Danio rerio: one gene and its partner. The protein of the gene in region 1 purifies or fractionates together with the protein of each later gene. This does not show direct contact. Links are inferred from orthologs where the notes say so. Each region holds a gene or a part of one and is shown on either strand. Other genes may lie near its edges.

The links.
Region 2: the proteins of ctif (region 1) and slbp purify together in Homo sapiens (affinity purification with western blotting; 3 studies listed by BioGRID). This does not show direct contact. The link is inferred for Danio rerio from reciprocal best matches to the Homo sapiens genes CTIF and SLBP.

Annotation. Positions count from the first base shown.
Region 1 is NC_133196.1:3,991,803-4,007,835, forward strand, and holds part of ctif (CBP80/20-dependent translation initiation factor), read left to right. Parts: intron 1-7,289; 5' UTR 7,290-7,324; coding exon 7,325-7,504; intron 7,505-10,806; coding exon 10,807-10,878; intron 10,879-16,033. UniProt on the Homo sapiens protein: Specifically required for the pioneer round of mRNA translation mediated by the cap-binding complex (CBC), that takes place during or right after mRNA export via the nuclear pore complex (NPC).
Region 2 is NC_133189.1:17,111,823-17,125,802, forward strand, and holds slbp (histone RNA hairpin-binding protein), read left to right. Parts: upstream 1-8,586; 5' UTR 8,587-8,674; coding exon 8,675-8,730; intron 8,731-9,620; coding exon 9,621-9,740; intron 9,741-9,945; coding exon 9,946-10,050; intron 10,051-10,190; coding exon 10,191-10,253; coding exon of another isoform or gene 10,254-10,257; intron 10,258-11,142; coding exon 11,143-11,292; intron 11,293-11,409; coding exon 11,410-11,559; intron 11,560-12,373; coding exon 12,374-12,485; intron 12,486-12,581; coding exon 12,582-12,641; 3' UTR 12,642-13,062; downstream 13,063-13,980. UniProt on the Homo sapiens protein: RNA-binding protein involved in the histone pre-mRNA processing.

The DNA of each region.
Region 1 (16,033 bases):
CTGATTCAGTTTGATGAACTTTTTGTTGGTGTCGGCTGAAGGATTTCCCCCAGGACACCTACAACAGGCGATACGTCACAATCACGCCCCCACAAGAGCAAGCTCCTGATTGGTTAACGCAGCGCGAATGACCACTGAAGTTCAGATTTTAAACACGAGCGGTTTGCGCGCTAACAGCAAAACGCTCCATTTGCGCATATCGCGCTATTCGCACCTAGCCATTCGCGCTATTCACTCCACACCATTCGCAGCACGCCATTCGCGCGTTTGCATTGACTTAACATGTAAATCACTCCCGCTTGATCCCGTTCCGCGTCTGCTGTGACGCAGCATTAGACTAAAACTACTCATTAAGTGTCATTCGCTCACTTATGTCATTTTAAATGCAAAAATGTTTTATTTTTATATTTATATACATCGTATATCCAATGTCCATCGGGAGGGTGCTATCGCAATTCGACCTGTCAGACAAACGCCGCTCAGTTTAACGTTAATTTTGCAGAATTACTGTTCTCATCACTGGGTGACAAGCTGTTATAATACGCTGGAAGCATTGTTTAAATAATATGTAATCAATATAACTTCTCTCTAAGACAACAACAAACTCTTTACCGCATCGGATGTCATTCCCTTGCTGTAAATGCTAGCGCTCACGTTTTTTATTTTCTGAAACCTTGATGTGCGCACATCCTGATTATTTAAAAACCGATAATTCGCCCACAGTATATGTCAGTGACCTACACAGTTCTATCCAAACACCTTTAATAAAGTTGATTTTCATCATAGGTGCCCTTTAAATTTCATTCTGTATGGTCTTACAGTCTTAAATATATCTCTTAGAAGTGTGCAGATACCCTGAATAAACTGACTTTGACGTGTTCTGGAATGTGAATAGTGAATATCGTGTTTGATTGTTTTCTTGTTGAATTCTCCTGTAGTGTGTTTTATTGTGGGGATTTCTGCGTCTCAGACTGCTGTGGTCCATTAGTCAAGAGCCCGAGGCTCAGTCTGTGCGCTGTCAGACACATTCACTCATTTACACTTGACATGATGATATCCGGAGGGAGAAAATCCTGCGTGAAATGAGACGCATTCAATAGGACCAGAACCGTCTGAGTGGCTAATGGAAAAGCCCTAATGAGAGCCCAATTAATCTTATTTCTGGCTGCAATGATTTCAGCCCAATTGTGCTCATTTCCCAGCAGTGTGTTCAAGACTGCTCATTAGATTAAAGCCGCTGTAAACACCTATTTCGAGAATTGCTTTGTTTGCAATCATTTATATTGATTGTGATCTGATTTGTAATTTAACGATGGGATTTTATCTCCGCTTTCTGTGCGTGTATAAGGACCAATAAACGGTATTATATTAAATCATTGAAATTGATGTCAATAACGATGAAAAGCTCTTGACTTTTTACTCTATATTGATCTAAAAGCGGGACATTTGGAGGCGCAGTCGGTAATGCTTTCGCCTCACAGCAAGAAGGTTCAAGCCTCAGCTGAGTCAGTTGGCATTTCTGTGTGGAGTTTGCATGTTCTCCCTACGTTCACGTGGGTTTCCTCTGGGTGCTCTAGTTTCCCCCACAGTCAAAAAATGCGCTATAAGTGAATTGGGTAAACTAAAATTTATAAGTAATTATGAGTAGGGCGGGAAGTTTCGGGAGTCTCCTGGATGCCCACAAACGAGCGATAATCTCGCGCCTCCCTCCTGGTCCACAAATATGTTGCGCACCCTTCTCACCCCTCCCCACCGCATCTCTCCTCGCTCTTCAGACACGTCGCGCGCACCGTGTCAAACACCACCAAACCACCACCCCCCGACAGCTAAGCGGGACTCTGCAAAATAAACCCTGAAACTCTGATCAATGAGAGGAAAGTTTACTCGCACATGACTTGTTTTAGCTCTTTTGGTCCGTTTAGACACTTTGCTGTGTGAAATCGAACCGCACCAAGAACAAAGAGCAACAATGTAACAATTGTAATCCCTGTTTCGGAACAACTGAATCAATTCACAGGTGTGAAAGCACCCTAATGCTGTGTTCACACCAGACGCGGAACGCGTGGATAAATCGAGATATTCGCGCGTAAATTGCCGCGTGAACATTTGAGTTTACTCGCTTCATTCGGGCGTCAAACCCCGCTTCATTCGGGCGTGAAATCCGCTTCATTCGCGTGTCAAATTCACTTCAGAACAGACGCGGATTCGCGTGATGAGCAGGGCTTCTGTCTGCCCGGTGACTCTAGCTTCATAGCTAAATGACTAACATGCATTTTTTTAAGAAAATAACAGTGTTAATGTGCTTTATGGAGACTGAAAAACAGTGTAGATACGTTTAGGGTCCTGTCTGAGTCCACTGCATCCTTTCAGAGGAGCATCCAGCTCTGAGCTCATAAACTCCTCCAGAAACTGAACCTGGATTACGGAGACTTTCAGCAGTGCTTCTGACAGAATCAAGCCCAGTTTGATGACTTGCTGTCGGTGTCGCCTGGAGGATTTGCCTCGGGACACCATCAACAGGTTCTACGTCACAATCAAGCCCCCACAAGAGCAAGCTTCTGATTGGTTAACATGGCACGAATGTCCGCTGAAGTTCAGATTTTCGAACTCGAGAGATTCGGCAAACGATCAATTCGCCTCGCGCGTATCGCGCTATTCGCACCGCGCCATTCGCGAAATTCTCGTCATTCGCTCTGCGCCATTCGCGCCGCAGGATGTCTATTTGTGCGTTTGCATTGACTTAACATGTAAATCACTCGCGCTTGATGCGCGTTCCGTGTCTGGTGTGAACGCAGCATAAAAGTAATGTGTGTGTGTGTGTGTGTGTGTGTGTGTGTGTGTGTGTGTGTGTGTGTGTGTGTGTGTGTTTGTTTGTGTTTGTGTGTGTGTGTGTGTGTGTGTGTGTGTGTGTGTGTGTGTGTGTGTGTGTGTGTGTGTGTGTGTGTGTGTGTTGTGGAGTCAGCAGAGGTCAGAGATCTCCAATCCTCATTAAAGCTGTCCAGCTCAATCTACTGATAATCAAAAACTCTCACGCTCATCTGCTGATGTGCTTTCTCACACTCTTCTGTGTTTCCCTCAGCTGTCATCTTCAGTGTGCATGTGTGTGTGTGTGTGTGTGAGTCATACTGTCATTACAATCAACAGCTGATATCACAGCACACACACGCACTTCTGTCACACATGAACACCTTTTGTTTACATTCTTTGTGGCTGATATGCAGAAGTCCACCAATGCTGCATTTGTTTTGATTATAAACTGAATTTACAGCATCATCATTACTCGAGTCTTCAGTGTCACGCCATCTTTCAGAAGATATTATAAGATCAAGATTTCATCATCAAGAAATATTTCTGATTGTGATTAATGTTGAAAATAGTTTTGTTTCTTCATATGTCGGTGCACTGTAAATATCTGTTCTTTTAACAAGTGTTTTCAGTTTATTTACTGGTTGTGAATTGCATTATGGGATGTTGATCTCTGCTCTGTCCACTTTTGATGTTGGAAATTTAACTCTACAGTTTAACAAAGTAACTTTTATTAACATTTTAGTAATTTTTAATAATATAATGTATGAGAAATAGTGTTGTAAAATAGCAAAAAAATGCACTGTCAGTGTTATTACAAGGTTGACGCGTAGCCCTTCCGTTGGCGTCACTGACGCGTACCTCTCAAAAAATGTAACTACACATCGCAATGACGCGTAGCACAAGCTCTGTGATTGGTCTGCTTGGGAGCGCTGACAAGTCAAGGGTGGGACTGAGAGCCGCGCGAGCAGCACGAGCCCAATGGAGCGATTGTTTACAAGTGTGGAGTCCCGTGAAGGAGCTCATGATGGAAAGTTTTGTTTTGTGTTTACCTCATAGTTAAAGTCTGCCGGTTCCTGCCTCAAAATGAGCGAGTTTGAGCCACTTGTACATCCAGGAAGTGTTTAGGAAAAGCAAAACAGCAGCGAAGAAACTCAACAAAGAGGAACATTTACACCTCACTGCCCACTAGCGTTTCGGAAGTGTTAATGCAGACCAACAGAGACAGCGCGCATAAGTATAAATGCACAGCTACGCGCGTTGCATGCGTCGTGGGTTACACCGGTCACTTGACGCAGAAGTATAAATCAGGCTTAAGATAAATGAAAAAATAATATGATTTTCTACAAGTGAAGCATGAGCCTTCATTGCCTTGCATCTTATAAATGCAACCAAGCCTTAAAATTACATTCTAGACCGCCCCCTAAAACAGGGGTTTTAAACTTTTAGGACACGCGCCCCTTCTAAGTTTGTCCAATTTCACTCGCGCCCCCCCAAGCACCCCTCCCTAGAGCCAAAATTACAATGCATATGCAGACATCATTCACATATTACTTGTTGCGTTTAAAGTGCTTAGCGTTAATTACGTTGAAACATAAATATACATCTTACCTGGTTCAGTGTGATGGCTGAGACTGTTTCTGTGAGGACAACATGCTAATCTGTGGTCGGATTCCTGAAACGACTAATTGTAAATCATCACCTACTTGCTTTCGATGTACGTACATACGAAAAATGCTGCTCCACGAAGCCAAGTTGGCAGAGCCCTGACAGTGTGGAGTCGAAGATTGAGTATGTTTACAGTACATGGGCAACAATACAATTTCAATATGATTAAGACAATACTCTTGATTAAGAGTCTACCATGTAAATGGCACTTTTTAAAATTTATTTTATTTATTTTATTACCTTAATGCGACTAAAGTCATAACTGAACTAAACAGAAATGGAATTAAGACATGTGCAGTATGCAGATATTAGTGGCATTATTGAAGTAAACACCCCAAGCAAACTATTACCGTTATGTTGGACTTTTCAACATATTTTCCGACAAGATCCACCCACGTGGCTGTCAGTAACGGACTGCACACACACACATCGCAAAATGCGGAAGTTTTTTTTTTTTTTCTTCCATTCGACGTGCGGTATCAATAAATACAACACTCTTCCACCAGTCCTTCATATTCGCATCAAATATCCCAGTTTGTCATGGGGGCATGAATGAAATGTTCATGAGTAAAAGTTAAACTGCGGAACTGCAGGTAAAGTCAAGAAATTAAAGATGAAACACCAAGAATTGCATTAGGAGACTTGTGACTTCACGCAAGAAATGTAAATAGGTGACGCAACAATCAAAAAACACTTCACGTTATTCTATCATTGTCTTATTCAGATTAAGACAAATAACTATTACAGATGTCCATGTAAGCGTAGTCAATAGCGTCTTCCAAGTATTTGAAATATCCAGAAGGGCACTTTTTTTTGTCAGACGGCTCAATGCTTTGACTTTCATTCATTCACTAGTTTTAAAAAGCACTCGGTCCATTGTTTTTGTGTATGTTTCACTGGAAAGCATAAACTCTACAGGTGCCTGATAGTTAGCTGTGGAGCTAATGATAATCATATTACTCCCTCTAGTGAACGCATAAAAATCGTCATCATATTTTACTCTAGTGCGCGCCTCAGAGTGCACGCCTCAATGTCTCCCCCCCCCCCCCCCCCCTTAATAGGTGCTGGTGCCCCCTGGTGGGGTGCGCCCCACAGTTTGAAAACACTGCCCTAAAGTATTTATAACTATATTAAAAGTTATCTTGTTTAAAAAAAAATGTATGAAGACTCCTCTATCCTCTATCCAATATATAAATATTAGACATATTTATTCTTTTTCAAATATTTCCCATGTGATGATTAACAGAGCAAGGACGTTTTTTACAGTATTTCCTATTACATTTCCACTTGTGGAGAAATAAAGTCTTATTTCTTTTAGTTTGGTGGCTCAGTGGTTAGCACTGTCGCCTCACAGCAAGAAAGTGGCTGATTCGAGTCCCAGCTGGGTCAGTTGGCATTTCTGTGTGGAGTTTGCATGTTCTCCCAGTGTTGGCGTGGGTTTCCTCTGGGTGCTCCGGTTTCCCTGACAGTCCAAACACATGTGCTATTGGGGAATTGGGTAAACTAAATTGTCCGTATTGTATAAGTGTGTGAACAAATATGTATGGGTGTTTCCCAATACTGGGTTGCAGCTGGAAGGGCATCAGCTGTGTAAAACACATTCTTGATAAGTTGGCGGTTAATAAATAAAAGGACTAAGCTGAAGGAAAATGAACGAATAAACATGATGAATATTCGCACAAAGGATTCATTGACAGATCACGGGTGGTACAGAGAACAATTGCTAAACCAGTCAAATGATCTTAAATACCAGCAGCTCTGCTTTTGAAGGCGTAAGACCGTTGCGTGTTATTATGGATGTGTGCTGGTAAGATGCTGCTGCTCCAGTTGTAAATCCTCTTTGCTTGGACACGATTCAAGTAGTGACTTAAAACCAGATTATACTCTCTCTCTCTCTCTCTCTCTCTCTCTCTCTCTCTCTCTCTCTCTCTTTCTATTTTACCTTGAGACTTCATTAGGTAATGTGAAGCTCAGTGGAAGGCATAAGTATAAAGTGTGAAGGACTCGAGGGCCTGTGCTTCATTTTAGTGAAGCATTTTTTTGTGGGATTATTTGTCCTTTAAGTCGTGCACGAACTGAAGACTTGCACAGTTACATTACTTTTCTCCTTTGTGTTGTCAAGTTGTTCTGTTCAGTTTGTACATGTAAGTTACTTTGTCGAGAACTTCATCTCATCATTTCATTTCTGAAGCGAGGAAAGCTGATTTAAATGCCTAAGAACAAGTTTAATACAGATTAAAACATTTCTCCAAGTCATCAAAACAATTTGAAATGTTTTAGTATTTTAACAATTCTGACGTTTTCACCCCCTGAAGTAGTTCTGAAGCAGTTTTTATTTTAAAACCATTTTAAGGTGAATATTATTAGCCCCCGTTTTTAAAATATATTTGTTTTGGATTGTCTGCAGAGCAAACCACTGTTATACAATGACTTGTCTAATTACCCTAACTTTACCCTAATTAACCTAGTTAAGCCTTTAAATGTCACTTTAAGCTGAATACTAGAATCTTGAAAAATATGTGCTGTTGTCATGGCAAAGATAAAAGAAATCAGTTATAAGAAGAGTTAAAGAAACCATTATGCTTAGAAAAGTGAAGAAAATGTTAAGAAAATCTTTTCATCAAACTGAAATTGGGGTAAAAATATACAGGGGGGCTAATAATTCTGATTCCAGACGTATAACGACTCTACTAAATATTATTCTAAATAATATAAATAAATATTGTTCTAAATAATTATTCTAACTATATAGTCATTCTTAAAGATTGTTGTTATTAGGGTTTGTGTCACTAACTTCCTCTTTGCCCTGCCCGCAGCTCCCTTGCTCCTCCCTCACACTGGGCCGGTTGCTATGGAGAGCTCATCGGTGGCGTCAGCGTCGTCAGAGGCGGGTAGCACACGCTCGCAGGAGATCGAGGAGCTGGAGCGCTTCATCGACAGCTACGTGTTGGAGTACCAGGTGCAGGGACTGCTGAGCGACAAGAACGAAACAGACCCCGATGTGGACAAGACCCTGTCCCACACCTCACAGGTACCACGTTATATATACTGATACTGTATTATAGCCCATTTCCGCTGAGTGTTATGGTACGGTTTGGTATGCTTTTGTGGCTGTTTCCACTGTCAAAAGGTACCAAAAAAGCGAATCGCACTGTAGCACTTTTTGGGTATTCTTTCGGAGGGGTATCGAACACGATGAAATGGTACCAAAAGGCGGAGCTAAACATGCAGCTGAACGCTATTGGTTTACAGAGAAACATCAATAGCTCGTACACAAGCAGGAGAATGAAAACAAAGGAAGCGCTATTTTTAAATACACAGCAGAGACATTACACCATAATGATATATACATTTAATAACAAGCCATGGTCAACCCGAGCTTAAACGAACCTTGTCGTGTCTTGATGAACAACCACAAAGCCAAGAAGAGCAGAATCTACCATTCTCGTGTACGCTCGCAGCATGTTTATATTTGAAATAACAAACTTCTTGAGCCGATTAAAATCATGTGCTCGTGATTATTGAAGCGCTTCTGACATCTGATCCTTTCAGAAATGGACAAATGACGCGTGACGAGAGTGACATGTAAAAAAAACAAAGAAGAAAATGATTCTTTCAGCAGCCTGAAACATGATCAAACTGCCATATTTAACTATCATCATTACCTTCTGGACTATTATGAACTCAGAATGAAGAAGTTAATTTCTTACAGAGTTTACATGTGCTGGTCAAGATTAAAGATACAGATGAGTGGTTTGCTCTGACTGTGGGCTATACTATGATCCAATCCCAATTCTACCCCTTAGCCCTTACCCCTACCCCTCAATTTTGCGCGTGCACGCCAAGGGGAAGGGAGGTCCCAATTCTCTTTAGCTTGAAGGCGTAGGGCTAAGGGGAAGAGGTGAAAAGCTCTTCGACGAAGATTTTTCAGGACCACACTTGAAACCAAGGGGTAAGAAAATTTCCCAGAATACACCATCAACAGCGGCAGTATTGCTGAACGCGGAAATAAGGAGATCCACAAATTAGTATTTTTTTTGTCATTATTATGAATTTTTATGACCAACAAACATATGTTTTAACATATTCATGACCGCGTTCGTGTTTTACCCTCATGCTTTAAAAAAACCACAAAAAAACGCAAACTTTCGCGATCTATAATCCCTATTGATAACTCCTGTACAGCAGTCCCACAGCATTCTGACACTCAAATACCCTGTCAGTAATGTCTAGTGGCTGTCAATGAGCTTTTTACAGTGTCTGCTATAATGTTAATGTTGTTTTTGGTGTTTTTATGTAGATGAATATGGCCACTGTGTAAATACTCAGTGCAGTTACGATCTTAATGCCACATTAGATCGTTATGATGACATAATACATGCCTTCAGTCGTCTCCTGAAGATAAATACCAAAAAATAACACAACTGGAATCACTACAGCAGTCGCCATTGTCTGATCTCAGAGGAGAAGCAGGAGATCGCGAGGACATATGATGGCGTGTGCAGGTGCTGTAGTGCTGTCCTAATTCTTAGGGGTAAATTTTGAAGCCCTTCCCCGTAACCCTCGGTTGTGAGGGCCAAGGGAAAGGGGTAGGGGTACAAAAATAGAATTGGAATTGGGCCTATATGGTCTGTGTTGTTTTTGAACCCATATAAGGACTGAATGTCTGCTGTGTGTAGTTTTTCTGTTTTTCAAAAGCAGAAGAGGTGAAGAGGTGGTCTCAGTCGCTTTTAAACGAACCCTGGAGTGTTTCGTTTGTGGTGAGAACATGATCCGACATAAAAACAGACCCAACCGCAAAAAGTACTGCGCCTTTTTGGACTAATCCAGCTGCCATAGTCCGATGTGCTGTCCCATCTTATGGGATGTAGAGGAAAAATATTTGTTGACTTCGCTTTAACGACAGAGAGAGAGAGGGAAAAACATTACCTAATGGATCGTTGGTAATATTTCCGGAAGATGACCATGCTGCAGTTTAGCTAAATTAATTCATACGACGTGCAATGCACCTTCGCCATCTGCAATACATTAAAACATTGTTTTCCAGCCGCAGTTCTTTCTCGAAATGTATAGTTTGTCTAAAGTGATTTATATAAACTATGTAGTATACTGTGAGCAGGGATACAGTCAGCCAGCTTAGTCGTAACTGCATAGTATAAAGCGACTTTCTGTGTCTGCCGGTTCGTTCACTTGCGGGAGTTCCATTGGCATTTTCCTGCACATTAATTCTGACCAATCGCAAAGCTGTTTAGGAAATACGTTCAATAACATCTGGCTATTGAGTGATGTGGATTTTGTCACATGACTGCATTTTGGTTCTTTTCAACTGGTTCAGACCAAAGCAATCAGTGTGGTGTGAAAAGGACCCAAAAACGGCAGAAAATGGTACAATGCATCGTGTGTTGCCCTTGCTGACCAAACTAACTGAACCATAGATGTGAAAGCACTCTTAAAGCTGGGAATATGTATGATGTATGAATATAGTGAATGATTTTGGATCTAGCCTTAGCCCCACACCTCACATGTTAGGGTGCTTTCACACCTACACTTTTGTTTCGGAACCTGTCTCGTTTGCCCAGTTAGCGTGGTTCGTTTGGCATATGCAAAACCACCAATCGTGCTCGGATCCGCACCAAAACAATCGCTCCGAGATCGATTGAATGAGGTAGTCTTGGCTCGATTGAAACGAACTCTGGAGTGGATCGATTGCAGTGAGAAAGCAATACAATTCGAGCGCGGTTATATCACTGTGTTTTATGGATATGTAATAGGCATACGGCTAAATAAGGAAAAAATTAAGAGCAGGGTGGAAGGTCATTACAGAGATCCAAAGTCTCCCGGATGTTTCGTTAGTCTCCTGAAACTGCACAGAGACTCCCAGGTGCCCGCAAACGAGTGATAATCTCCCGGAAATCGCGCATCTCCCTCCTGGTCCTCAAATACGTTGCGCACCCTTCTCACCCCTCCCCACCGCATCTGTCCTCGCTCTTCAGACACGTCGCGCGCACCTTGTCAAACACCAGCAAACCACTACCCCCCCCCCCCTGACAGCTGAGCGGGACTCTGGAAATTATCTCTGAAACTGACCAATGTGAGGAGAGTTTACTCGCACGTGACTAGTTTTAGCTCTTGTGGTCCAGTTAGAAACTTTGCCGTGTGAAAGTGAACCGCACCAAGAACAAAGAGCAACACAGGTTTGAAAGCACTTTTAAACTACAACAAAAAAAAATGTCCAACACCTGAAACTATTTACAGTAAGATTTTTCTTTCTCTCTCGCTCTCTCTTTCTCTCTGTTTGTGTGTGTGTGTCTGTACATGTGTCTTTTCCTTCAGTGGACAGAAGACTGCAGTGATAAGATTGACGGGAGCTGGTCATCTTCACGGGGAAGAGGCTCATCCAAACCAGTGAGTTTTTTGTTAGGGTCTGAATGACTTTAGATTTTTGGTGGTTGATTTTCATGTTTTCAAAGTCGAGTCGATGTCGACTATTCGCTCATGACGTCATCAATAAAACACAAGATGCACATTTGAATTCATCTTTATTTCTGTAGTGTCAAAGCAGCTTAACGTGGAAGCTCTAGTAAAATGAGAATGTGTCAGTCCAGTTTTCAGAGTTGAAGTTCAGTTTAGTTTTGTTCAGTGTGGTTTAATTTTCACTGCTGAAAGTCCAAACACTGAAGAGTAATCCATCGATGTGCAGCTCCACAAGTCCCAAACCAAGCAAGCCAGTGGTGAAAAACAAACTTCCCCAATTAACGAAAGTGAAGGAAACAAATCCTCAAGAGAAACCAAGCTCAGTCGGGCATGACCATTTCTCCTCTGGCCAAACTTCTTTAAATGTTTAGCAACACGCCACAATTTGCTATTCATTTACAGGAAATATATACACATGCTGTTTGACAGCTCATAACACGTTGCAAAAACAACGCAACATTACCAATGACAAATTTTTTTGACTATTTTGATACTTCAGCTCATCCATCGACATGATTTCTGCCAGAGTCCTGCATGATGTAATGAAGACCACAACTCCCATGATTCCACACTCAAGTCACCATCATCGCCAAACTACAAATTAGTTTGTTGTGAAAAGACGCCCTCTAGTGGCCACAATGTGAGTCATGCGAGTGACATTTTAATCCTGCCTTCATGTCAGAAAACTAGGGCCAGGCGGAATCTGCGGACTTTTTTTGCTATTTCTGCGGAGAATTTTGGTATTTTGGTTTCTGCAGAATTATTTTGGGAGTATGAGAACTAAAACCTTAACCAGTTAACTCCACGAACCCTGTACCGGGTTTATTTACACTTAAATACACAGTATTCTGGATACCCGAGCTGGGTATTGAACATTGGTTCATCTTCATATTTTTCATATCTTGCCGGTGCTCATTCGGTTTTAGCGTTCTTTTTACTGAATTATATTCACATTTTAAACAGTTGCCGAATGAATCGCGGTGTTTCAATGGCGTAGAAGTGAAAACAATACATTTATGATCATTAAGCAGCCCCAGATAGCACAGACAGCTGTCATCTCTTACCTTATGCTGTGTGCTTCAGGGCCATTTCTCCTCTGTTTTTGAGATGATGTGCATAAGTAATCCTTTTATATGTCTGATGTGGTCCAAACACAGTGAATTATGTTTGATCAAACAAAAGAATAGTGAAATATGAAAATGCTTTTACATTTGGGTTGGCAAATTCTAGGCGGAAATCCCAAAATAGCAGCAGAGTTTAACTGGTTAATTTATGAAATAAAAAGTAATACATTTTTAACTTTTATTTAATGTTTGTAATGCAAATCCAATTAGATTAACTTCATTTGGTAAACAAAGCAAGTCTCTCATAATATCTCTACTAAAAGACAGAAAATATTTCTGTACACACTGCATTGTGCATAAATCAGATGAACATTTTCATAATAGTCAATAATATTACTGTGATTAATTTAAAAACTCAATAAATATACATTTACACACATTTACTAAAGTAAATAAACAGAATTAATGATCGGCTGGAAATCAGAAGTGAAACGATGTCATAGATGTTGGCAGGATTTTTAATTAGATATTACTAGAGCGTGTGAATTGGATCAAATGATATGCATGGATAAACAATAAATTAAGCAATATTCCATTTATAATTAATTGTTTTGCATTTTGCATTCGTGGTGACTCGCATACGGTTCGTGCGACGCATTACTGATGTTCCCTCATTAGTGACACTGGAGCAGGCTAAAGCTGTCAGCCATAAGGGTAATCTGTGTGTATATTAAATATTAAAGCGGGCAGACGTGAGAAGGTCAGATGCCCTGCCTTCTGTGCGTGTGTGATGGGTGTGTGAGAGATCATTGTGAACAGCACAGTGACGGTATTGTAGTCTGAGGTCATGACCTCTGCATCGCTGTGATGATGTCACTCAATCCCTGCTCTGAACGTTTTCACTGATGTCATGTGATGTAGTTCTGCACATGCTCGGTAGAATCTGATGAACTCGTTTCGAATGAGCTGAAAGACTCATTTGCTTTACGTGTGCAATTGAGCATCCTGCTTTTCTCTTAAAGCTTGTAAACATTTGGTGGTGGGCGACAAGGCGGCGCAGTGGGTAGAACGATCTCCTCACAGCAAGAAGGTCGTTGGTTCCAGTCCCGGTTGGGCCGGTTGACATTTCAGTTTGCATGTTCTCCCCGTGTTGACGTGGGTTTACTCCGGGTGCTCCGGTTTCCCCCACAGTCCCAACACATGCGCCGTATTTGGGTAAGCTAAACTGACCATAGTGTATGTGAGTGAATGCAAGAGTGTATGGGTGTTTCCCAGTGATTGGTTGTGGCTGGAAGGTTTGTTACAGGCTGTTGTAGACTATATCACTATTGTGAACTCTATGCCAAAGCTGAGTGGCCTTCTCTGTATGTAAGACAGTACACCCACTGGATGACTCTAGTCTACAAGGCTCTTCTAAGTCTGGTGCCTTTATACCCAAGTTCCCTTCTTTATAGGTCAAAAAGCCAGTGTGCCCTACGTTCAAGTGAACCTTATAATTTGACTGTTGCAGGGTTCGAACTTAAATGTGGAGGCGAGCCTTTAGTTAATCTGAACTTTAGCGGACATTCAAGCCGCGTTAACCAATCAGGAGCTTGCTCTTGTGGGGGCATGATTGTGACGTATGGCCTGTTGTGGCTGTCCCAGGGATCCTTCAGCCGACGCCGACAACAGTTCATCAAACTGGGCTTGGCTCAGTCAGAAGCACCGCTGAAAGCCCCCGTCATCCAGGTTCAGTTTCTGGAGGAGTTTATGAGCTCATAGAGCTGGATGCACCTCTCAAAGCATGTAGTGGACTCAGTCACGGCCCTAAACGTATCAACGCTGTTTTTCAGCCTTCCTAAAGCACATAAACACTGTTATTTTCTTCATAAAATCCATGTTAGCCATTTAGCTATGAAGCTAGAGTCACCGGGCAGACAGAAGCCCTGCCCATCACGCGAATCCGCGTCTGTTCTGAAGTGAATTTGACACGGGAATGAAGCGAATTTGATGCGCGAATGAAGCGAGTAACCTCTAATGTTCACGCGGCTATTTAAATAGTGCGATTTATGCGCGCGCTCCGCATCTGGTGTGAACGCAGCATGACAGTAAATATGACATTTTTGTTAATTAGTAAATAAGTATTTATAATAGTCTCCAGAGGGAAACGGTAAAACTCTAGGCAAGGCAAGTTTATTTCGATAGCACATTTCATACACAGTGGCAATTCAAAGTGCTCACATAAACAGGAATAAATGTGTTAAAAAGTGTGACAAAATAATATAAAAAAGACATAATGCCATCTGCGGGATGTAGCACAGTGCTCATTCAGTAAAGGCACAGCTAAACACACGTGTTTCAGTCTTGTTGTGAACATACCTAATGTTGGAGCACATCTGATAATTTCTGGAAGCTGATTCCAGCAGCAGGGGGCGCTGTTAGTAGCTGAAAGCCGATTCACCCTGCTTTGACTGAACTCTTGGAAGTTCAAGTGTATTTGATCCTAAAGTGATCTGTTGGGTTTGTATTCAGTGAGCATATCTGTAATGTATTGAGCTCCTAGGCCATTTAGTGATTTATAGGGCAGTAATAATACTTTCAAATCTATTCTGAATGTAACTGGGAGCCAGTGTAGAGACCTGAGGACAGGAGAGATGTGCTCAGATTTCCTGGTTCTAGTCAGAATCCTGGCGGCAGCATTCTGGATGAGCTGCAACTGTCTGACTGTTTTTTTGGGAAGGCCAGTGAGGAGTCCATTACAGTAATCCACCCTACTGCTGATAAAAGCATGAACAAGTTACTCTAAGTCCTCACTGGAAACAAAGCATTTAATTCTTGCAGTGTTTGAGATGATAGTGTGCTGATTTACTAATTGCTTTGACATGACTACTGAAACTCAGATCTGATTCCAGAAACTCCTGGTGTTTCTTTAAGTCACAGGAATCGATCTATACTTGTTTTATATTGTTCAAGTTTTAGATTAAACCATTTTAGAATAACTGCCACTGTAATTTTTATTTAAAAAATAGCTTTTTCTTTATTTTTGCTGATTGAGAGGAGCTAAAATGCATCCTAAAATCTGTAATATTCTTAAATTTCACATTATCTGTAAATTGGGTTATTAAATGTGATGTTTTTTCTTCTTTACGATGCGATTTAGACCTACTTTGACTTAATATTAGAACTTATTTTCAGAGAATTCATATCAAATGTTTGGGTTTTGTTAGTATTGACCATAGACTGTAAAATATATGGATGTAGTGTCCGTGACGTCACCCATAGGTTTCTAAAGAGCGCAAAAGAAGCCACAAGTAGGCGCGGCTAACTGCCGCCATTTTGTTAGCGCGTCATCACACCCACAGCAGGATACCAAACAAGGGCAAAAAGGCGGAGAGTGGGCGGAGCTACAGACACCTGCTGGCAGTTTGCTTGGACCTGGTTCAGACACACTTTACTTTAGGAGAACGCTTAATACTTTATCACCTGCGACTCGTTTGTATTCTGACCACCTGTGCTTGGTTTAGACCTTTAAAAACACTGCTGTAATACACTGAGCCACTAAACATTGTTCTTATGACGTTTTTCAACAGGAGGAAAACGCAAATTACTTCCAAACACTTCAGATATAGTCTGTGTCAGTTAATGTAAGACTATTGATGAAATCCAGCATGACACTGTATGACAACGCTTCAGACGACTGTTCTAGAGCCTACAGCTAATCAATCTGTCAGATTCTGGAGTGCATTACAGCTCTAATATAAATTTAAACGATAAATGATCTTAAATAAAACAAATACACGTATAGAGATGGTATATAAGTATATAACTTTACTCACATGGGAAACGGAGGCCACGTGAATGTTTTGTGAGCACAATTATGTGCACTCAGCATGCCAAGCCATCTAATAGGAAACAAGTCCAAAAGGCAGTTGACTGTGTAAAGCCATATAAAACAACACAGAAATAGATAAATATGCCGAGTTCAGTGGCTAATCTGCAGGATTCAGCTGAGGTGACGTGACGGCGACCAGTGAGACCTAGCT
Region 2 (13,980 bases), on another chromosome or scaffold:
AAAGCAGCTTAACATAGAAGTTCTAATAAATTAAAACTGTCTCAGCCCAGTTTTTTAGAGTTTAGAGTTTAGTTCAGTTCATTGTGGTTTAATTTTCCCTGCTAAATGTCCAAACACTGAAGAGCAAACTTCACAGCTTTTTATTGGTCATTTTTTCCCTTTTAAGAATGAGGTCCGAGATTTAGAATAAAAGTTACTTGTAAAATGTTTTCTCTATTCAACAACACAGTAGGTCAGTAATGAGATGACTTCACTTACTTCAGTTTCTTTTCGGTCTTAAAGCCTTCTTCGATGAGTTATTTTTACAATTTATGATGCAATCAAAATAGGATGAACGAACTAATGTATGGTACAAATTCTGGACCTCTGTCAGTGAGGGGCGAGTCTTTCGAACCACCCGGACCTTCACTGGCTAGAGGCCTGTATGAATAAATTTCATCCATCAAATCACCCTTAGAGTGTTAACCTTAGAGCCCTATATGGGTCATTCTACAGAAACTTCTTCTCTTGGTATGGCAAAATGACAAAAAATTATTTTTCTAAAATTTTTAAACTTAGTCCACATTAATCAATCACCTTGCGACTTTATGAAAACACACAAATGACAGCTTAATGATTTTCTTTATATTTTTGTACTTTTGTTTGAATGTCATATAACATCACTGGTGATACCTACTTTTTTGGCCAATCTTATGTTTTTTTAATGAAAAATTATTTATTTATCTTTTTAGTGCATAGTCATATTACAGACAATAATGATAACACAAGTAATAAGGAGATTATGTGTTATTTGTTTTGTCAAAAGTGTTTTTAATGACATTGATTATTTTCCGCTATATATATATATATATATATATAATATATTTGCCATAACAAAGAAAATATTTGAAAAACATTTCTAAATGAGTAAAAATGCAATCTTTTAAATCTTAAATCTTGAGTGTAACAGACATAAAAGCATGTAAAATTATCTTTAAAATTATTACACATCGTGACACATTTTGTTAACCTAATGTGTAAAAACACAAATGACACAATGAATTACAAGTGAGAAACATAATGACCTTCAGTGGAGTTACCCATAAGAAAAGTAACACCATTGACAATTTTCATGAAAAATGGATTTCACAAAATGTCTGCTGCAAAGAATCAAACATGTTACAATCATGTATAGCCTACTCACTAAGCTGTGTTTAATCCAGTTATATTCTAGTATTGTTTTAATAATTGTTTAGCATTTAAGATGACAAAGTGCAAATGTTCAAATAACACATTGTTTCATTTTTAAAATATAAAGGGTTTTTCAAGTGTAAAATTTCTGTTAAGTCTAGAAACAGAAAACTGACATTTCAGTAGAATTGTCCATATATACTTTTAATTTTTTAATACCAAAAAGACAATGCAGTACCCTTTCAATTGAAACTGCAAAAAAATGTCCCACTTTCAATGTGCAATGCACAGAAAGAAGAAAATAAAAGTTTAGATGGGGTGTAGTCTCAACCATGTAGACTAGACAATGTTAGTTGTTCTGGAAAGTTGCTGGGATGTAAATATATTCTGAGGGGTTGTTAGGACATTATTTATTTACTTTTTGCAGAAATAAATTTGACTTAAGTTAATTTGATCACATATGTTTCAGTCCACATTTCCATTCCGTCAGTAACAACCCCAATCAAATACAATAGTACAGCGCCATCTGCTGTCTCATCTCATTCATAACTCTAAACGGTGTTTAACAGCATCTGACATATTTAAGATTAAAAATAAACGTTTTTGGCTGTTTATCTACATTCTCGTTACCCTGAATTTTTACATGAGCAAGTAGTATAACTTAGCCACATGAAACGAAAATTATACCTGTTTTAACGTAATATTATGTCTATTGTAATCATGATTTTTGAAAATTAGGTCACTTGTCAGTTTTTTCATAATAAATATACAATCATAAGATCTACCATTATTATTACTTCATCTTTTCTTACATTTTTAAAATTACACTACTGTTCTAGTACCTTATCAGGACTGCTTTTCGAGTCGATTCGAACAAATCTTCGAGAAGAATCAAGGTGCGTTCGACATGAAGCTCAGCTGCAGCCGGTGATCAACGAGATTAGCCGAGCGCAGGCGGGGGCGGAGTTGATAACGGAGCCGTCAAGACGGACAGCTGAACACTTCGGGACTCAAAGTTGCTGCAGTTATGATGACCGATCACATGGCGTCATCATATTTTTTTTGTTATTTTTATTTATAACAACAAAACATTTACAAATAAAACAGAATACAGGCTCTTCAAACTGTAGTTCCTTTTTAAACAATAAGAGAGAATTATGAATAAAATATATAACAAATGCATGAGAGAAATAAGAGGAAATGAGAGGTTAATATAAACATAAAAACGAACAGGTCTATTAAATACAAAGCAATAAGCATAAATTCTAGGAGTTAAACATCACTCTTTAGGCTAATACTTCTTGTTTGAATATGCTAAAAAGGGTTTGCATATATGTACATTTATAGATATAAAATTTCCCATGTAAAAAGCAAAACAAGGTGTTTTGATTAGGTCTTAATAAATGACATTATTTTGGATGATGAATGAATTTTCAAAAAAGCATTTTAATCCAAAAAGATTGTGTTGAAAAGAACAAAAGGTAAAATAAGTGAGCGATGTAGAAGTTTCCCAGAAAGAGCAGGTAGCCTTTAAACTGCTAGACAGAAAATAAAATATATATTTATATTATAATAATAAAGCCATTTTATAATTATTTAATAAAATAGTTCTTTACTTTAATTTGTTAAGAGAGCTTTAGGGGGGCAGGATCAATGATGATGATTATTTTATTTCAAGTCTGTAAGACTTATTTGAGTTCATATTTAGGTTATTCACTAAAATATACACTAAAATATATCATTTAAATCGTTCATAGAGATGAATGCAGTAAATAGTCTGTATAAAAAAGTTAAAAAATAAACCTGTGCAAACAAGCTAACCTTTATAACCAGATTATTTAACAAAAGATGATACTGCAGTAAAATATTTGTAGTCTTTTAATAAGCAAGATGTGTACAGGATAGAGAGGGTGTGAAAAGTGAAATGTTTGTTTTGAAACTTTTGAATCGGAATTTGTCCAATTATAAACCCGAAATACACGTGTTTGTTGTCATGTGGTGAACTTGGCCAATCGTGTAATATCGGTGTCGTCATCAAAGCTCCTGCAGTCGCTCTTCAGAAGCTGCATGGTCTGAGTTTGCCGTCTGATCTCGGAGCGCTGTCGCGGTACTTTGATGCCACATGTGACAGTCACGTGGCGTCGGCGCAGCATCAATCCGGACAAGATTTCTAACCAGAATGCACCGCTTTAAGACAGATTTCGATCGATCTGCGCAGCGCTGCATGAAGTCGAACGCACCTTCAGTTCACTCGTAAATAGGATGTGGCCACATGATGTCACCACGATCACTCTTCTTCGATGGTATGCAGTTGTAGCTATAAAAGCGTAGTGCCCCCTCCTAAGATCCCTCATTTCGCGATGCCTACTTCGACGATGTGTGGAAGAAATGAGCATAAGAAAACCGAAAGGTTACAAGAAGGTAAAGTTTATCATTTTGATTTATCGCACACACTGTAGGGACGTATAAGCTTCTGAAAGGTAGTTAAATTGATGAGGGCTGTTTGTAAATCCTGTGGGTCAAATGTGTGCATGTTGCATTCGACACGTGGTTTTCTTCTGAGTAACGTGGCTGGTTCTTTGAAGACTTGATTATTTAAACAGGAACATGCCCTAAATGTATATTAATTTTTGCTTGATAACTGTATAGTGAACTTTATTTAAAAATGCTATTTTTAAAGGCAGTTTGATATTTTTTCCCCATTTTAGGTGGCTGACTGGTTTGTGTTTATAACCTGATGAAGACCCTTTGGCTGCTGTAATGCAAGTATGTTATTTTTTTCTTGTGTATTAAAGCCCAGCGGTAGTCAGCTGTGCAGGCCAGACCATGCCTGAGCTAGTGTTACTCTGCTGGAAGAGAAAGGCACTGCCATTTGTGCTCCATCAGGTTTGGCTGTTTTAGTGAATCCTGCTGTGTGGTGCTGGTTATGCCATGTCTTCTGAGAGTGGCCTGTACTCACAAAATGAGGCAGGCCTAGTCTGGAGGCAAACACTCAAGTCAATTGGCTACTGGTGCTGCATATTTGTTTCCATGTTCCTGATGAAGATTGTTTTTCCAGGTTGCACAAGACTCATCTAGAGTACCTCAATCTAGTGGTCTAGTGAATTGAGAGGTAAGTGTTTCTCAATCCAGAAATCAAAAACTGTCAACTTTCTTTGTCTTAAGTGGTTAAAAATAAAATCATTCCATCAGGTCAGGGTGTGCATTTACTACAGGAAGAGCCATGTTGACCTGCTTTAAGTTAGTGTTATGTGTGTACTAATAGTAGGCAATACAGCTCCTAGTAATAAAAATGGTGTAGTGCATTGGCTGTAGTAAATGCAGATCTGATTCAAAAGTAGGAAAACAACACATTTACCTTGTGGCTATCAATGTTGATTTTGTTTTTAAAGTGGCTTTTTCTATAGGAAGAGGGTGTTGACTGTACTGTAAGAAGAGGTGAAATCCCTGTAAAAATCCTAGCGCAGGTAACTTTTTCAGTCATTGTGATCCAAGATGATACCATCATAGCAGAAGCCTTTCTCTGTTGTGATGTCTTTTTAATCTTGGAATATCAAATGCAGGGTTGGCACTGATTTTTGTTGCAATTTTCTTCAAAAATCTGACAAAGAAGCCTGCTACATTTCATTATTTAGTATTTAATGTTGAGATCTGTGTTTGACTTTTTTTTTTTTTTTTTTCCTGTGGTTGTAGGAAAAAAGTGTTGAAGATCAGCCAGAATGACGATTCTCAAACGGTTCAATGTGAATGTAACAAGCGAAACTTCGACTGTGGTGTCAACTTATCTGAATGGAATATGAATGTTCTTGTTTAATTTTTAGTAAATGAATATAAAGACCTGCTCCCTTTTGTGAAGTGGTTTCATGCTGAATATTAAGAATTATCAATGTGTAATGCAATCAATTATGGCTGGTTTTCCATTTAGAAATAGAATAGTCTTATACAGGTTACTGAAAGAATATTTTAAATTGTCAACTGCTTGGACTAGTCTTTTTTGACTTTACACTATTGACCTGGTGTTATTTTATTTATTATTATTATATCTTACACTAAAATAATAAAGGTGTCAACTGAATTTTCAGTTGGGTAAACTATCTAAGCCAGGAGTGTCTGGACTCTGTCCTAGAGGGCCAGTGTCCTGCATATTTCGAACCCCAATTAAACACCTAAACCAACTAATTAAGCTCTTTTTGGGTGTTCTAGAAACTTTCAGGCAGGTGTGTGTGTCAAAGGAAGTTGGAGCTAAACTGCAGGACACTGCCCTCCAGGAAAGAGTTTAGATACCCCTGGTCTAAGCCATAGGTCTCAAACTCAATTACTGGAGAGTTGCAGCTCAGTTATGCTCAAACCCTAATCAATATGTCTGATCCAACTAATCAGTGTGTTCAAAGCTACTTGACACCAATTGAATCTCCTAAATTTGTTTGATCAGCTGTGTCTTGGGGTTTGTGCAAAAAACTGTAGAGCTATGGCCTTCCAGCAGTTGAGTTAAAAGTCACGTCTCGCTAACAGTTTCAGGCTTTGGCGCATTTTGCACTCGCACACAAGCGTACCGTGCCAAAGCCCAAGTGAACCGTGCTTAGGCACACCTCTTCCAACCGGGCCAGGGCTGGCCAAGTAAACCGTGCTTGAGCCCGATTCAGCGCACTCACTTTTCAAACGATCCGGGAAACGGGCCTGAGCACGGTACGGATGGCATAGTGTGAGTAGGCCCTTAAAGACCTATGGTCTAAGCCACAGGTGTCAAACTTGGTTCCTGTAGGGCTGAAGCTCTGCACAGTTTAGTTCCAATGCTAAAACACCTGATCAAACAGTTCTTTAGCATTGTTTGAAACCTACATGCAAGTGTGTAGAAGCAGCGTTTGAATAACCGTGTGCAGGTCCTCCAGGAGCTGAGTTTGACACCCCTGGTCTAAGCAATAAATAACTATGCCACTGGTCCCCTAGTTTGACTTCTTAGAGTTAAGACAATTACAAGAGTGATCTATTGTAAAGTGAGTGTCAAAAAATAAAATCAATAAATCTTGATTTCCTGGAGGTTTGCAGCTCTGCACAGTTTTGCCTTTAACCTAATCAAACGCAGTTGATCTAACTAATTGAGGTGTTCATGACTACTAGTGGCTATTAAGCAGGTGCGAGTTGGAGGTGGTTGGAGCTAAACTGCAGAGCTGTGACTTTTGAGACCTGTTAAAACTGTAGCAATGAGGTCACAATACTGTGCAGCTTTTAGCAACATTAAAAAAATTTCAAGCAGCACTGTACCATAACTAGAAAAGTGGGTTAAGTGTGTACTGCAACATTAAGCATCGGTATAAGCAGTAATTTTTCAAAATTAAAAGCTAGATATTTGCGTCTGTCATCTAATGCCAAGCATTCCAAATATAAGAATAATATTCAACATGTAAAAAGCTAATTTTTTGTACACAATGTCTACATTTATTTTGTTTCATATATGTATCTACATATTAATTTATTTTTCACATTCATATTTTTACTTTTCTTGGTCTCTAACCTACTGAAAAATCCCCCAAAAATTTTGGTATTTATGCTATTAAATATTCAGACTATTTGATTTTTTTTTTATTTGAATATTATGTGCATGTCTGTGTTTTTCACAATCAGGACTAAAAGTCAATGAATTGATTTTTTTTTATTTGAATATTATGTGCATGTCTGGGTTTTTCACAATCAGGACTAAAAGTCAATAAATAAATGACTGGCACTCATATGGCAAAATAAAAAAGACAGTTGTTAACGTTGTCCTGTTCCCCAGTTCTGGTAAAAGACTAGAAACATCCATGTTATAAGTCCTGCAATCTTTTTTAGTCCACCTCATAGTAAAGTGTGTTTGGTTGTACTTTTTAAACTTGAAGTGTATTATGTGCAGTGTATATTGCTGTAGCTGTAAGACCTTTAGTTCAGTGGGTCTCCGTGTTTTTTTTTAAATGGTACATTTCTGCCTCCTACTGGATAGGAGTGTGTAACGCATAATAGTTGGAAAGTAAACCATGAATGGGAGATGATGGATGATAAATAAATAATTAAGATAAAGTTTTATTTACACAAGAGTCTTGAATTATATTGATAAATCCTGTTATCCTGATAAATTCCAAATAAAGGATGAGTAAACTGACAGAATAATTGGTTTTGTATGAGTTTAAAAGTTTTAAGGAATAATGCGTTGCTTATCTTAATGCACTCAAATAATGATCTAATATTCACATTTATTTGTATTGACATATAGGTTTATAGGGTCCATTTTAAAAAGCTGGTTCACTCAAATGTGAAAATGAGCTCCTTCTTCCTTGTGTGCGTGTGTTTGAGTCCTTTGAATTTCTCTCTTCTGAAGAATGCTGGTTGCTGGGATGCATTGACTTCAATTGTAGAAAAAATGGGAGTCAATGGGTCGCGGCAACCAGCATTTTCTCAAATGTTTTCTTTTATGTTTAACTGAAAAAACTCGAATCGAGTTTGAGCAATTAAATGGCGAGTCACGTTAAATGGGAAAAAAACGTTTCACTGATGTATTCAGTAGCCCCTGTTATTTTTGAATATGTTGCACTTACAGGTTGTATAACATTTATTAAGTTCCTAAAATTAGCACATACATCACACAACGTGACTGGTTGAACTGTCCCTTTAAGGTGATTCATTTTTCTTAAAATCCGAAGGGAATTAAGGTTTAAACAAACGGTAATGGTATTTTTCTTGTTTGAAAGAAAGAAAAATTACTGGTGTTTTTGCCACATTAAACCGAAACACATCGACGACGGGAAATTACCTCGGAAGTATTAAAAGGCTATGCATTAATATTTTTCTCTCTTGTTTTGTCGTGACCACGACTAAATTATTGTGAGCCCGAGCAGTTAGGCTATTTTCTCCCTGATCACAAGGCCGGTGCAGACTCACTGGTCAGACATTGGTCAGATAATAATAGTAATAATAATAATAATAATAATAATAATAATAAATATATAAAAGCAAACAAAAAAAACGTGATTACGACATGTTTGTCATAACGTTTTATGTCGAGATCACGAGATAATTAAGTCATCACGAAAAAACAAGAGAGAAAAAATATTTTAATCCATGGCCTCTTGGGGCTTCCTTACATGACTTACTTTTTCTCTTTATTTCTTAATACATGAAAAAATTATTTTTGTGGACCCAGGTCTTTCGTCTGTTTGTATTCCCGCCACGGCGTTCTAAAACGGAAAAAGAAGTTACGCGCTAAACTCGACATGTGATCTATAAACCATAGACCGACCTCAAAGAGCTTAGAATCACCTGATTCTAAGGTCTTTGCAGATTTTAACGAACGGGTACACATGATTTGTGGATCGGCGTATGTGGGTGGATCAAGTTGTGAGATACGTCACTAACACCGCCCCTTAAGTGTCATGTGACATCGATGTTGACGTACACTGCAGGACATTGGCGCGGTTTAATCCAAACCCGGCAGCTGATCGTACGTGCAGGTTCAATTTTACACCCTCTCGAAGCAATGTCTGAACAACAAAAATACAAATACGAAAACGATTACAAATCTAGTGAAGACAGGTAAGAATTTTAAACTATATTTAGTGGTGTGTGCAGTTGTTTTTGTCTTTTCGTGTTTTTTGGCTTTGTGGCTCCGATGTTTGCTAGCATAGCAAGACAACAAAGTATTGTGTTCCTGCTGTACTTCACTATTTTGTCTGTTTTTGGACTATAAAACATTCTTTTTACTTTCATTTGTAACTTCTTCTACTATTTTAGGTCATTAGTTCTTGCAAAATCTCGACTCTTTTATGCAGATAATGAATGAGGTGTGAAGATCTCCCGCCAGTCTTCTGTGTTGTGTTCAGAGTGTAAATGAGAGTTGGCGCCATACGAGCATTACCTCTGGATTCCCTAAATCAGCATTACTTATTTTAGTTTTACTAAAAGTTGTTGTTTTTATTATTTGCAGTGAGTTGTGTGTTGACTGCAGGTTATTTTGTGGCGCCATGGAAACAAAGGTTTCTTCGAGTAGTGATTTAGCTCATTGTGTACGTTAACTGTTAGTTATTAGGAAGTCGCGGTTTTCCGTCGCCATCTCCTTTAACGTTAAGTGTGTAACGAAGTAGATTTGTTTGTAATTATACATAAGCATATTTGGAATATTAACAAGTGATGATGACTTGTGTTGTAAATTGCATTTCTTACTGAAAATGTATTAACCCAAATTTTGATTCGTAATATGCTTTGCTAAGCTCTGTATAAACAACTTTAAATGTGCATTTTATCAGTTCTGTGATAAATTTTTTTTGTAACTCTGCGATTCTAGATTTTTAAATAGTTGTATCTCCACCAAATGTTTATTAATTATATCCATGTGTTTATTGCTTTAGCATTTCGTGTTCATGTTATGTGCAACATTCACTTTTTCACTTTTTTTTTTTCAAATGTATATATATTTTGTGTTAAAGGAACAAAGGAGCTTCAAGGTGGTCACAGTGTAGGAAACGTGGAGCAGATGGTATTCTGAGGAAGTCTCATGCTGATGAAGAGCCAGGCAAAGATCAAAGATGTTCGAAGAGATCAGAAAGGTAACATTTTGCATTGACTTTACAACATACCAATTTCTCAAGAGAGTCAACTGGAGTAGTTTTGTTAGGTTGTGGTTGACATTTTGATTTATTAGATGCATCAAATCTGACCTCTTTGATGAATTTCATTACATTTTAAACTGAGATACAAATGATAGTCGGTTTATTTTCTTATTACTGAACAATTGTGTCTTTTTTTGTGCAGTTTTACAACCCCAGAGAGTGAAGGACCAGTGTCCAGAATAAAAAACTGGGGCGATGAGGTGGAGGAACAGGAAATGCGCACAAATGTCCGGCGTGATTTTCATCGGTCAGTTGCCTCTCTTGAATTAAAAAAAAAATTCTTGCCAAAGTAAATTTTACATTAACAACAATTACAGTATTTTATGTTGCAAATATACAGGTGTACATGGCACTGATAAATCCTTCATTTTATTTATTATTTTTCAGTTACAGAAGGAGGATTCTTGCGAGTGATTTCCCTCAAAGAGACAGAAAAATCTCATCTGGAAGGTTTGTGTTTTAATCAGGGTCGCATTTAGACTTATTCCCCTAAAAGGTGCTCTTATTTGTCCACGTCAAACCATTTTTTTGTTTGTTTCTGCAAAATATTAGCTAACAAACTTTTCCCTTTAAATCTGAGACCCCAGCACTAACTGTGAAATCAATTTAAAAACGTTACAATATATTTCATTGAAAGGATTCTAATCCAAAAATAAATAACTTACTGAGTTTAAAGTTTTATCTTTGGAAGAAACATTTTTATTAGTTTTCAATGTGTGACTAGTGTTCATTTATTATAAATCAGTAGCGATGGCCCGATCAGGTTTTTTGAGTTACTTAATTTTAAGTATCTGGCGATTAACGAAAACCGATCCGATACTTCTATAATAAATAAAAATAAAAGAAGAGCAAAGAAACCGATCCAGGACTTTGCCTGCTTTTAACCATTTTTGCTTCAGAGATGCTATTGATGTCATGCTGCATGCGTTGCTGTTGCTGTGTGAAGTCGCACAGAAAACTGTTCTAGACATGATGCTTCAGGGATAGTTGGAAAGATGTTAATTTAATGTAGGGCTAGTTGAGAAAACAAAAACACTAAATGCTTTTAAGATATAATACATCAGACAAGGGACACAGGCTTAGAAAACATGATTAAATGAACACTACTACTGTCCCAGCATAATATACAAGTAATAACAATTGTAATAAATGTGGTGCTATCAAAACACTATTCTTATTGTTTGAGCATTTTGTTCACCTCAATTTGGACAACCCAATGTGTGAATTTGGGGTGGGTCTACCTGTTTAAGCGTATAATAGCAAATAAAAGTTCAATCTAGAAGTAAGTTTTACAGCAATTTTGACTTGAGTTGTAATCAAGCTTTTCTTGTTCTCCCAGTTCAGACTCCAGAGACTCTAGGGATTCGAAAGAGTCGCCTGCTAAAGGTGACATCGAGACCGATGAGACCACCCTCATCAGAAGACAGAAGCAGATAAATTACGGGAAAAATACTCTTGCGTACGACAGATACATTAAAGAAGTTCCAAAGTGAGTTAAACCATGCTTTTTTTTTTTTTTTAACGAATGTGTCATGCTACCCAGATCTTTTTTCTGCAATTATTTTTTGTACAGCATCAGAACCTTAAAATATAACTCCTCTTTCAGGCATTTGAGACAACCAGGTGTTCATCCAAAGACTCCAAACAAGTTCAAGAAGTACAGCAGACGCTCCTGGGACCAGCAGATTAAATTGTGGCGGGTCAAACTTCATGCATGGGACCCTCCTGCAGAAGAGGGAAGCGACTTTCAGCAAATGTAAGCTTTATTTCCAAAAACACAAAAAAGCTAATAAAATAGGCTTAAATGGGACCTATTATGTCGCTTTTTACAGGATGTTAAATAAGTCTCTAATGTCCTTAGAACAGGGGTGGGCAAACTCGGTCCAGGGGGGCCAGTGTCCTGCATAGTTTAGCTCCAATTCTAATCAAAAACACCTGAACGTGCCAATCAGTGTCTTCATGATCACTAGAAATCTATAAGCAGGTGTGTTTGATTAGAGTTGGAGCTAAACTGTGCAGGACACCAGCCCTCCAGGACCGAGTTTCCCCACCCCTGCTTTAAAGTGTGTAAGTGAAGTTTCTACTCGAAATACAACACAGATATTTTTTATAACCCTTTGAAACTGCTCCTTTTAGGCTTTGATCCAAATTGTGCTTTAAATTCAAATGAGATTGTGCTATTCAAAAGAGGGCGGAGCTATAAGCACCAGCAGCAGATTCAAAACACTAATGACAAAAGGCTGCTTTTCACTCAGGGCTGAATACGCTTATGAGGAAGAGATCTTCTCTAATGGGCAAGACTTCCCCCTTCTGATGGCGTTTACTAAGCGAGAATGTCCATCAAAGTGTTTTTGCAGACTTGTGATTTCTAAAAAAAGAATTAATACATTTTTACCATTAGAGGCTGGCTATATTCACACCACTGTGTTTAAACCACATATAAAAGTGATTTTTACATAATAGGTCCCAATTAAGAAAAACATTTACACATCAGCACAGTGTTAACACTTTTTAAAATTTTTATTGCTACAGTTTTTTTTCTGTTTCTTTAACTCCTTTGTTTGTAACAGAGAGGAGATCGACCTTGGTGAAATTATGGACTTTGAGTTGGATGTGGAAACGACAGAGAATACTGAATCCCAATGCTCATCAAGCAATGGAGCAGCACAGTCTTTACAAGAGGTGATGTTTTTGGCAGACATTATTTATCCAACCATGGTTTTAAACTGGTATTTTTGGACATTACAGTTGTTAACATTCTTATATCATGTGTTACAGGACGCGTTCATGGAAACACCGAAAAAGATGATGAAAATTGAGGATTCCGACATGTCTTGAGCAGCTACACTGAGTGTCTATGAGAGTATTACTGAGCAGCTGAACTGTTTTAATGCACTGTTTGTTTTGAGCATCATTGTTTCCAACAGGTTCTGATGTTTTTGTGATGACAGGTTTTGACAGCTTCTTAAAGAGAAGGTTTTGTCATCATCACTGAATTCACCGTTCTCCACTTTTCTTTTTCGGGTCTTTGGAAGAAAATGTAAATGTGTAAATTTTTGGAATTGTTTAATTTTTATTGTGGAAATCTGTTTAGTGCTTGGTAAACATTCTCTTGTATTTATCAATTTGTTGAATCTCTGATTACAGCAAATATCATATTTTGTAGTTTGTGATTTTAAATGTTCTTTTAGTTCATTTCTTTTTTTTTAATTAAAAACCTTTTGAAAATAAATATTAAATTGGAATGACCAAATAATGGTTGTTGTTGTTCATTTCACTCTTCATTTATTTTTATTTGCTTTCTCTGGATCTCTTAGATGATGCAAAATCCCTCTCATTGCAGCCAGTGTTAGGCGTAATGCATTACAAGTATTGCGAGTTACGCAAGATTTCTAATTAACGAGTAAAGTAGTGCATTATTTTAAGAATATCTGAGTTACTTTTTAAATGTAATGCGAGTTACATTTTAGTTTAGTTTATTTGCTTTTAAAAAATAAATTGCTGAATTTAAATCAATGGAGTCCCTTTGAATCATGCCCTCAATGAGACTGCAGGAGCACAAAAGAAAGTTGGGAGTAACTCTATTCTAATGCATTACTTTCTAAAGTAACATTCCTCAACACTGACTACAGCGACCTGTAGGATTCTATTCAAATTATTTTAATAACGAATAGTTAAAACATGATGTAAACTACCATGTCAAATGTGGAACCACAACAACATATTTTGATAGGAAATGTGTAGATCTGTAATGTTACACAAATTTGTGACTTAAGACTGTTTTCCTTTAAATGATGCAGATGAGCTGGTATTTGCATGTCAGTTTTAGAGAGTCTTTTCTTAAGACAGTAACACATGTGCAACCAAGCTACATATATAAAATAATATATAAAAAATGTTAGTATATAAAATGAAGTGCTAAAAATAGCAGAAGTATTATTTTTGTCATGTATTATTTTTATCAAGTAACATTCTCTTTAATTAAAAAATCCGAAATGATTTTTTTGTTTCAAGATTTCCAACAAACAAATTGTCAATAATACTAAAGAGAAAATATAATTTTGGCGTTCTTAAATGCTTCAGTTTAATTTACAGACCACTCATTCGATATACAGTAATGTATCGTAAGCAACATTTTAATGATACATTTCCTTAAATTAAAATGAGATTTTTAATC